2 linked regions of the Macaca mulatta genome follow. The main gene of each other region encodes a partner of the protein of the gene in region 2 in a complex. Links are inferred from orthologs where the notes say so. Each region holds a gene or a part of one and is shown on either strand. Other genes may lie near its edges. The genes, in order: CCND3 and CDK4.

Region 1 (4,367 bases), on a different chromosome or scaffold from region 2:
TTCCAACCTTGACCTTCTAGGAAGTCTTCTGGGCACTCCACACCCAGCTCAGACAAAGGGAAGAGTACTTTTTGCCTGCACTGAAAAACCCTCATATGTAGGCACACACACCACCTCCATCTTTTCACAAAAAGGAAGTTCCCCTTCTACCTTCCAGCCCCAACCCCTCCAAAAACATCTTGCTCTCTGGCCCTGGAAACTAGCTCCACCTTCAGACTTGCCAAAAACTACCAGATTCATCACAAAGAGCTGTGGAGTCTCCTGGATTCCCAACTCTGGCCTCCTACTCCCATCTCTGAGCTACTTGGCAGGAAGAGGAATCCTGTTCCTCGACTCACAGCAGTCGGGGGCCCCAGTACCCTGGCTTCCCTGCCAGCCAATCACAGCAGCCTGCTTGCTGCCCTCCTCCCTGGGAGATGGGGCCCAGAGACTCCTCTCAGGGTCAGCAGAAGACTTGGCCCGCCACAGAGCAAGGTGGAAGAAAGTGCCAGCTCACCCACCCTCTCCCCCCAGCCCCCTAGGAGACAATCTGCATGTCCTAAATAACCTCTTCCAGATCCAGCAGCTGCCCGGGACTGAGGCTCCTTCTGAGGCGGGACAGAACCGGTGACTTTCCTGCCCTGTCTGAGCCCAGCCCAAGTTTCCAGCAAGAGGCCCAGGGAGCCACTTCCCAAACCACAGGAGTGACAGCAGCTCCCCACAGGGTTATGAAAGACCTTGGTCAGAGAGGGCGGGCCGGGGGAGGGGGCACCATTATCACATCGGAAGCAGCTGCAGCTCACCTCCCTGCCTGTCCCTCAGCTTGGGCCTTTGGCTAAGGGGGGTAGAGGGAGCTGTTTCCACCAGGCCCAAAGCAGCTGCTCCAGTTCCTCAGAATGAGGACAGGAAAGGATTAGGAAGAAGCTGTCTCTTCCGGGATATAAGAGGAAGCAAAGAAGGTGGGATGAAATACATCAGCCCTTCCTTAAAGCAATCAGAGCCTGGCTTTAATTGGCTCTGGGAGGTTTTTCTATCACAAAGTCCACATGAGGATAAAGACTCAACCAAGGCAAACCCCCTCCCCCACATGAAGCACATTCCACTCCCCTACTCCAGTGGGGGTGTGCAGGCATGCCCTTCTGCTGCCAATAAATAACTCATGGTGGCTGCGTAAACCCAGAGGCAAAGTACTAGTGAGTGTAGACATGCAGTTTGACTTGTTGCTATCTGAGGGAAAGACCAGGAAGGAGTGGCATCCCCTGGAGGTCAGGAGGGCGTTTAATGCCTGACTGCAGCTCGAGCCTAGGCGGGAGTGATACTAACCATCACACCACACTGCCCCATCGTTTGTTCCACCCTAATTCCCTTCCCAAAGGTCCTGATCGCCTTGCGCCCTCTCCAGGGAGCAGAAAGCCTCTGATATCTCAAGCGTTCCTTTTCCTGGAAAGTGGGGAGACAGTATGTGTCGGGGGTGGGGGGAGTTACACACGCACCCGCAACTGGCGGGGAGAGACAGCGTGGTCGGTGTAGATGCACAGTTTTTCGATGGTCAGGGGCGTGGTCTCGCGCAGCTTGGAGGCCAGCAGCATGCAGACCGCACCCAGGAGCTGCAACTGCGCCTTTCGGGTGGGGACACAGGACAGGTAGCGATCCAGGTAGTTCATGGCCAGGGGGAAGACTTCCTCCTCACAGCGCTGCTCCTCACATACCTGGGGGAGGGCGCACAGTCACTGCTGGGGCCGGAGCGTGGGGAACACAGCAGCGCGGGGGTGGGGGCGCTGAAGTGAGGTGGGATAGGGAGCAAAAACGGGAGAGAGGGTAAGCTACTTACAGAGACAAGGACCAATAAAGGAGGAGGATGGGCCCTCCCCAAGGTGACGCCCCCCACTTCCTCTGCGCGGCCTCCTCCCCTCTCCCCTTGGTGGGGTGGGGGTGGTAAAGTCAAGGAGCCCTTCCTCAAGAAGGATTCCAAACGGAGACTCCCCTCCCCCACAGCGACGGGAAGTGGGACGCAAGGGTCACCCATGGTAGCCAGAGAGCTGGGACCTCACCCCCATCACCGCCACCACTGCACACACCCGAAGGGAAGGGAGGAGGCTCCTGCCACTGCCTCCCGCACTTTTCATTTCCCTGTCGGCCGGAACAGGGCGCGCGCCACCCCCATCGCCTTCCCCGCCAGAACCCCGCGACAGACACAGGAACCGGCTCCCGGGCGGGGGCGGCCGAGCCCAGGGTTTTCCAGGCGCGCTCTCCGGAGAAGGCCGGGAGGGGGAGGGAAGTGGGAGACGCTGTGAGAAGCCGAAGGGGAGACGATGTCCCTGGTCCCGTTTTCTCGGCCCGAAGAGAGGCACAGTTACGGTGCCAAGTGACTGGCACTCACAGTTGGGAGGAGCCGATTAGGGCTCGGGAAAGCAAGGGAGGCAGCTGGCTAGGGTGCCCTAGTGAAAGGCCAGGCCCCGGGGGTCTTAGCCTCGGAGCATCCTGCAGATTGCTGTGGGGACCGCGATGTCCCGACAGGGCGGCCCCGGTGTGTCCAGACCCGGGAGCGGTGGGGGAGGGGGACGCGTCCGGGCGGTACCTCCAGCATCCAGTAAGCCAGCATCTTCCGCATGTGCGGCTTTATCTCCCGCTGCACGCACTGGAAGTAGGAGGCGCGGGGCACGTAGCGCTCCTCCAGGCGGAGCAGGCTCTGCAGGACACGCTGGTCCCCGAGTAGCCGCGGGTCCGGCCCGGCCCGGGGCGCGTGCCGGGTGCCTTCGCAACACAGCAGCTCCATACTCGGGCAGCGCACAGGCAGGGCGGGAGTGCGGGCTCGCGAGTTTCAAGGCAGGCGACGGGCCGGAGAGCGCGGAGAGCGGGTCTGGCGCTGGCGCTGGCGCTGGCACTGCGCGGCGGATCCCCAGCCCGCCCGCCGCCCGCGCGCGCCGCTTCCCTGACAGGCGCCCCGCCCCTCGCGACGATGTAGCAACCGTGGAATGCTCGGACGTCGCAACGCTCCGAGGGGCGGGGCTGCGGCGCCCCGGACGGAAAGGGCTGGCTGGGCGCTCTCCCCTCCCTCCCGCGGCCCCATTGGGCCGCTGAGCGCAAGCCGGCCGGCTTCCGGGCACTCCGGGCCCTCTGGACCACCGGGTGCAGAGAACTTTCTAGGAGGTGGGCCTCCTACCCACCCACGAGCCCTCCCATTTTGCTTCTCGGACTCTAGTCACCCAGGAAAGAATTTTTCTCCAAAGGTCATTCATTCACTTATTCATTCGTCAAACCCTACTTCACCGGCTGCTTGCTCTAAGGAATGCGATAAATAATGTCAGAGTCAGTTCTTAGTGAACACTGCTCCAAAGCCTCACAATGTAATGACTCACTACATCTTCACGAAAACTCGGAAACCGAGGCAACTGTCATTCGGTTGGCCCGTGGCAGAGCTAGGATTGGGAATCTGGCCTTCTTGCTCCAGATTCTGTGCTCTACACCACTGCTAGTTAAACAGTGATCCCAGACCTGTCCCGTGCATGGTCATCGCCTGGGAGCTGGTTAGAAATGCAGACTCTCAGGCCCACCCCTAACCTGAATCAGAATCTGCATTTTAACTAGATTTCTGTGCACTTTAAAGTATGAGAGCTGGGCCGGGCGCGGTGGCTCACGCCTGTAATCCCAGCACTTTGGGAGGCCGAGGCGGGCGGATCACAAGGTCAGGAGATCGAGACCACGGTGAAACCCCGTCTCTACTAAAAATACAAAAAATTAGCCGGGCGCGGTTGTGGGCGCCTGTAGTCCCAGCTACTCGGGAGGCTGAGGCAGGAGAATGGCGTGAACCCGGGAGGCGGAGCTTGCAGTGAGCCGAGATCGCGCCACTGCACTCCAGCCTGGGCCACAGAGCGAGACTCCGTCTCAAAAAAAAAAAAATAAAAATAAAAAAAAAAAAATAAAGTATGAGAGCCTTAGTCTAAATCAGCATATAACAGAACGGAAAGGCCATGGAGTCAAGGCCTCCTCACCTTGTCAAGTTGGTTGCCCAGCTTTGGACAAGCCCCTAAAGTCGGCCTTAGTTTCTGTTTGGAGAAACTGGACGGAAAAACTAGATTCTCACTGAATCAGTTTCTCCCACAGACTCTGAGATCTACCGGTTGCATTTCTTCCACCTCCCAAACTTTTGGTTACTTTGTAGTTTTACCGGAAGCTGGATTCCCTTGACCAAGAAGCAGACAAAAGACCTCCAATAATGCTCCAAATGGGAGGAGGCTATAGAGGATCCCTGCCCTACTGGGGTCCTCCTGACTTAGAAGACACTAAGGAAGTGTCTCTTTCCTTACTAAGGAAGTAACTAGAGAAATGACACTATGTAGAAGATGTAAGTTCTGTGCCAACCATTTTCTGTTAATTATTATTATTAT
Region 2 (4,321 bases):
CTTCTAGTTTGAACTCTTATATTCTCAGCCAGATGGTTAAGGAAAACAAGTTAGAGTGGAAGGAGTGGCAAATAGGGTAATAAAATGGCTTTAGATTTTACACAAATTCTCACAAATGAGACACTAACCGCTTTCCTCCTTTACTCCCATACCCTCAAAGGGCTAGGACATGAAGACCTTGGAGCCAATAAAACAAAGAAAGTAGGAGAAATCTACCTACGTCTACCTCGGTGTCTGTGGGCAGAGGCCATTTGGGAAAAAGTGTGTTCTGGACACCGCTAAGTGCTAAGAAAGAGGCACTAGGGAAAAAGAGGGAAGCACAATGACTCCAAATGAGCAGTCACAAGGTTTACAGAAGGAGACATGTCATTTTCATTCATTGTGGTGGTCTGGAGGGTGCAGGGGGTGTGGTGGTAACTTTCTTGCACATGTACACTCCTGTATCCATCTTATATATTACATGTAATAAATAATATATACATACATATATACATAGAAGTATATATACACATATAAAAATATCACATAATCATAGAACCGTCCTACTGGGGAAAAAAAAAACTTAAAGGTCAAGTATTCCTGTCTCCTGCTCATTAATAACTTCTCTGCCAGATGGCCTCAGGTCTTTGCATTAACACTCCCAGGGAGATTTGGAAGTTGAGAAAAGAGGGGGCATTACCTTGTCACTGAACCTGTTGGATTACTGTATTAATCTGCCTTCTGTCCGTCCTTTAATCGTAGTTTTGCCCTCAAATGGGCATTGTTTACTCCCTATTTTAGAAGACCCCATTGTTGGCTACATCTTTCTAGATAGTCGTACCACTACTTTAAAGGGCCAGTGACAGACACCAGAAACAAAACAAAATAAAAACCCACATACACACTGGAAGCAAGCACTCAGTAAAATGTTGTAGAATTAATGAATGAATCAATGACACAAATGAGAGTATGTTTTATCATGGTGGAGCGAAAAGGTGACAGCATCACCTCTGGTACCCCAACTCCCATTCCCTCCCCAATGTAGACAGGCTGAAAGACCGGTAGTGAGACTGGAGTTCAGCCTTCAGACCGGTAGTGAGACAATCCTTCAGCCGGGAGTTGGGCTCTGGGTGGCCTAGGTTGCCATGGCACCGCCTCGGGCTCCACCCTCTCTTGTCCCCTTACCGCGCCCCCCCGCGGCGGGGGTTGTGGCAGCCAGTCATGTGCCCGCCGCGTAACCACACCTCTGCTCCTCAGAGCAATGTCAAGCGGTCACGTGTGATAGCAACAGATCACGTGGCTACCATCGCCCCTCCGCCCCCTTACACTCTTCGCCCTCCTCCCCGTCAAAGCGGCTCCTGGCCACCCCTCCGCGCATGGGTGGCAGTCACGTGCCCAGAACGTCCGGCGTTCGCCCCGCCCTCCCAGTTTCCGCGCGCCTCTTTGGCAGCTGGTCACATGGTGAGGGTGGGGGTGAGGGGGCCTCTCTAGCTTGCGGCCTGTGTCTATGGTCGGGCCCTCTGCGTCCAGCTGCCCCGGACCGAGCTTGGGTGTATGGGGCCGTAGGAACCAGCTCCGGGGCCCCGATAACGGGCCGCCCCCGCAGCACCCCGGCCTGGCGTGAGGTAAGTGCAGTCCCTTCCCGGGAATGAGAACCAGTGCCCGCCCCCCTCACAGTTTTCCACGCGTTCGTTTCTCGAGCTGGTTATGGAGGGGTCGCTCAAGGGCGGGAAGTGGGGCCTTTGTGGTCATGGGAAAGTATAATTTTAGGGACTGAGGTGTAGGATCTTTGATGCAAGGCATGTGTCATGTGTGATCTTTGTGCAGGGCGCGATTGTCCCAAAGGAAAATGCGTTTTTTATTGCAGGGCCTCACGTGGCTGGAGGGGTTGGTATTGAGTCATTGTGTTATCTCTGGGGCCGGCCCCAAGGAAGGCTGCGAGCGGGGGATGGGATGCTAGTGTTGCTCTTTGTGCTTTTTTTTGGGAGTCCTTTTGTTGCTGCAGGCTCATACCATGCTAATTCTGTAAGGGACTTTTGGTGATAGGAGTCTGTGATTGTAGGGTCGCCCTTGATCTGAGAATGGCTACCTCTCGATATGAGCCAGTGGCTGAAATTGGTGTCGGTGCCTATGGGACAGTGTACAAGGCCCGTGATCCCCACAGTGGCCACTTTGTGGCCCTCAAGAGTGTGAGAGTCCCCAATGGAGGAGGAGCTGGAGGAGGCCTTCCCATCAGCACAGTTCGGGAGGTGGCCTTACTGAGGCGACTGGAGGCTTTTGAACATCCCAATGTAGTCCGGTGAGAAGGTGGTGACGAGGGGAGTGGGGAGTAAAGGGAAAAGACAGCCTATAGGTGGGGTGTGGTGATCTGTAGAGAAGTGGGGACCCTGAGGAAATAATGAGAGGCCATGTTGGGTTAAAGGGGATTGAAAAGTGAGCATTTACTCTGGCCAGGCTGATGGACGTCTGTGCCACATCCCGAACTGACCGGGAGATCAAGGTAACCCTGGTGTTTGAGCATGTAGACCAAGACCTAAGGACGTATCTGGACAAAGCACCCCCACCAGGCTTGCCAGCCGAGACCATCAAGGTGAGTGGGGTTGGTAGGCATTGAGAGGTGGATTGGGACCTTTGTAGTAAAACCTCCTGGGATTTCAGGTATGGTGTGCCTAGTTTCCAGTGCATCTGTACCTCCCCCTTCTAAACTAGGATTTGATGCGCCAGTTTCTAAGAGGCCTAGATTTCCTTCATGCAAATTGCATCGTTCACCGAGATCTGAAGCCAGAGAACATTCTGGTGACAAGTGGTGGAACAGTCAAGCTGGCTGACTTTGGCCTGGCCAGAATCTACAGCTACCAGATGGCACTTACACCCGTGGTCAGTAGAAAGATGGTACCAAAATGGGTTCTGGTTGGGAGTAGGAGAGTGATTGCCTGTAGCAATTGAGAAGTCATGTGCTTCGTGTGTTCAGTCAAGCAAGTTGTGTTTTGTGGTAACCCATGGAGTCCCCATCCATTCTTCCTATTCTCTTTAGGTTGTTACACTCTGGTACCGAGCTCCCGAAGTTCTTCTGCAGTCCACATATGCAACACCTGTGGACATGTGGAGTGTTGGCTGTATCTTTGCAGAGATGTTTCGTCGAAAGTATGGGACCCACATACCCTGGACCACCTTGAATTCCCCAAATTGCTTGTTCATAAACCACGTCCACACCCTGCCCATTCTTTCTTTTTCTCTTTTTTTTTTTTTTTTTTTTTTTTTTGAGACCAGGGCTTGCTTTGTTGCTCAGGCTGGATTGCAATGGCATGATCACAGCTCACTGCAGTGTCAACCTCCTGGGCTCAAGTGATCCTCCCATCTCAGCCTCCCAAGTAGCTGACACTCCATGCCCAGCTAGTTTTTTAATATTTCTGTAGAGAGGGGGGGTCTCAGTATATTGCCCAGGCTGGTCTTGAACTCTTGTACTCAAGCAGTCCTCCCACCGCTATCTCCCAAAGTGCTGGGATTACAAGCGTGAACTACTGGACCTGGCCCCATTCTTTTACTTGCATACTACTGACTACTTTGCCCATAGCAGAAAGCTCTGAAATGCTCTAGAATTAGGAACTTCATATCCCTTTATTCTCTTTTATTTATTTATTTATTTTTGCAATAAGGTTTCACTCTGTCACCCAGGCTGGAGTGCAATGGCCCAATTACAGCTCACTGTAGCCTCTATCTCCTGGGCTCAAGCAATTCTCCCATCTCAGCCTCCTGAGTAGCAGAAACTATAGGTGCATGCCACCATGACTGGCTTTTTTTTTTTTTTTGAGACGGAGTCTCGCCTTGTCGCCAGGCTGGAGTGCAGTGGTGCGATCTCAGCTCACTGCAACCTCCGCCTCCCAGGTTCAAGTGATTCTCCTGACTCAGCCTCCCAAGTAGCTGGGACTACAGGTGCGTGCCACCACGTCCAGCTAATTTTTGTATTTTTAGTAGAGACGGGGTTTCACCATGTTGGCCAGGATGGTCTCAATCTCTTGACCTCATGATCCACCTGCCTCAGCCTCCTAACGTGCTGGGATTACAGGCGTGAGCCACTGTGCCCAGCAATTTTTTTTTTTTTTTTTTTTTTTTTTTTAAGAGACAAGGTCTTGCTTGCCCAGGCTGATCTGGAACTCCTGGGCTCAAGCAGTCCTCTCACCTTAGCATCCCAAAGTGCTGGAATTATCGACCTTTATTCCCTGTGCTTTCTATTTTGGGCCACTAAGCAGTAACCATTCAACTAAGATATCTTTGAAAATGACTGCTACCTTATGTCCCTTCTCACCTTAGGCCTCTCTTCTGTGGAAACTCTGAAGCTGAC

What was found.
Region 1: the proteins of CDK4 (region 2) and CCND3 are in contact, whole or in part, in a crystal structure (PDB 7SJ3), measured with the Homo sapiens proteins. The link is inferred for Macaca mulatta from reciprocal best matches to the Homo sapiens genes CDK4 and CCND3. Residues at the interface, in NP_000066.1 of Homo sapiens: Gly46, Gly47, Gly48, Leu49, Ile51, Thr53, Val54, Arg55, Val57, Ala58, Leu59, Arg61, Arg62, Glu64, Ala65, Phe66, Val77, Ala79, Val89, Asp129, His132, Ala133, Asn134, Cys135, Arg163, Ile164, Tyr165, Ser166, Tyr167, Gln168; in NP_001751.1 of Homo sapiens: His11, Pro13, Arg14, Ala15, Gly16, Pro17, Asp18, Arg20, Leu21, Arg26, Val27, Ser30, Leu31, Arg33, Leu34, Arg37, Tyr38, Glu74, Lys112, Leu113, Arg114, Glu115, Thr116, Pro118, Ile121, Glu122, Pro134, Arg138, Glu141, Val142.

What each region holds. Positions count from the first base shown.
Region 1 is NC_133409.1:140,231,007-140,235,373, reverse strand, and holds the start of CCND3 (G1/S-specific cyclin-D3), read right to left. Parts: upstream 2,902-4,367; 5' UTR 2,756-2,901; coding exon 2,558-2,755; intron 2,268-2,557; coding exon of another isoform or gene 2,058-2,267; intron 1,689-2,057; coding exon 1,473-1,688; intron 1-1,472. UniProt on the Homo sapiens protein: Regulatory component of the cyclin D3-CDK4 (DC) complex that phosphorylates and inhibits members of the retinoblastoma (RB) protein family including RB1 and regulates the cell-cycle during G(1)/S transition.
Region 2 is NC_133416.1:64,928,956-64,933,276, reverse strand, and holds the start of CDK4 (cyclin-dependent kinase 4), read left to right. Parts: upstream 1-1,448; 5' UTR 1,449-1,604; intron 1,605-2,041; 5' UTR 2,042-2,060; coding exon 2,061-2,278; intron 2,279-2,433; coding exon 2,434-2,569; intron 2,570-2,688; coding exon 2,689-2,856; intron 2,857-3,013; coding exon 3,014-3,123; intron 3,124-4,290; coding exon 4,291-4,321.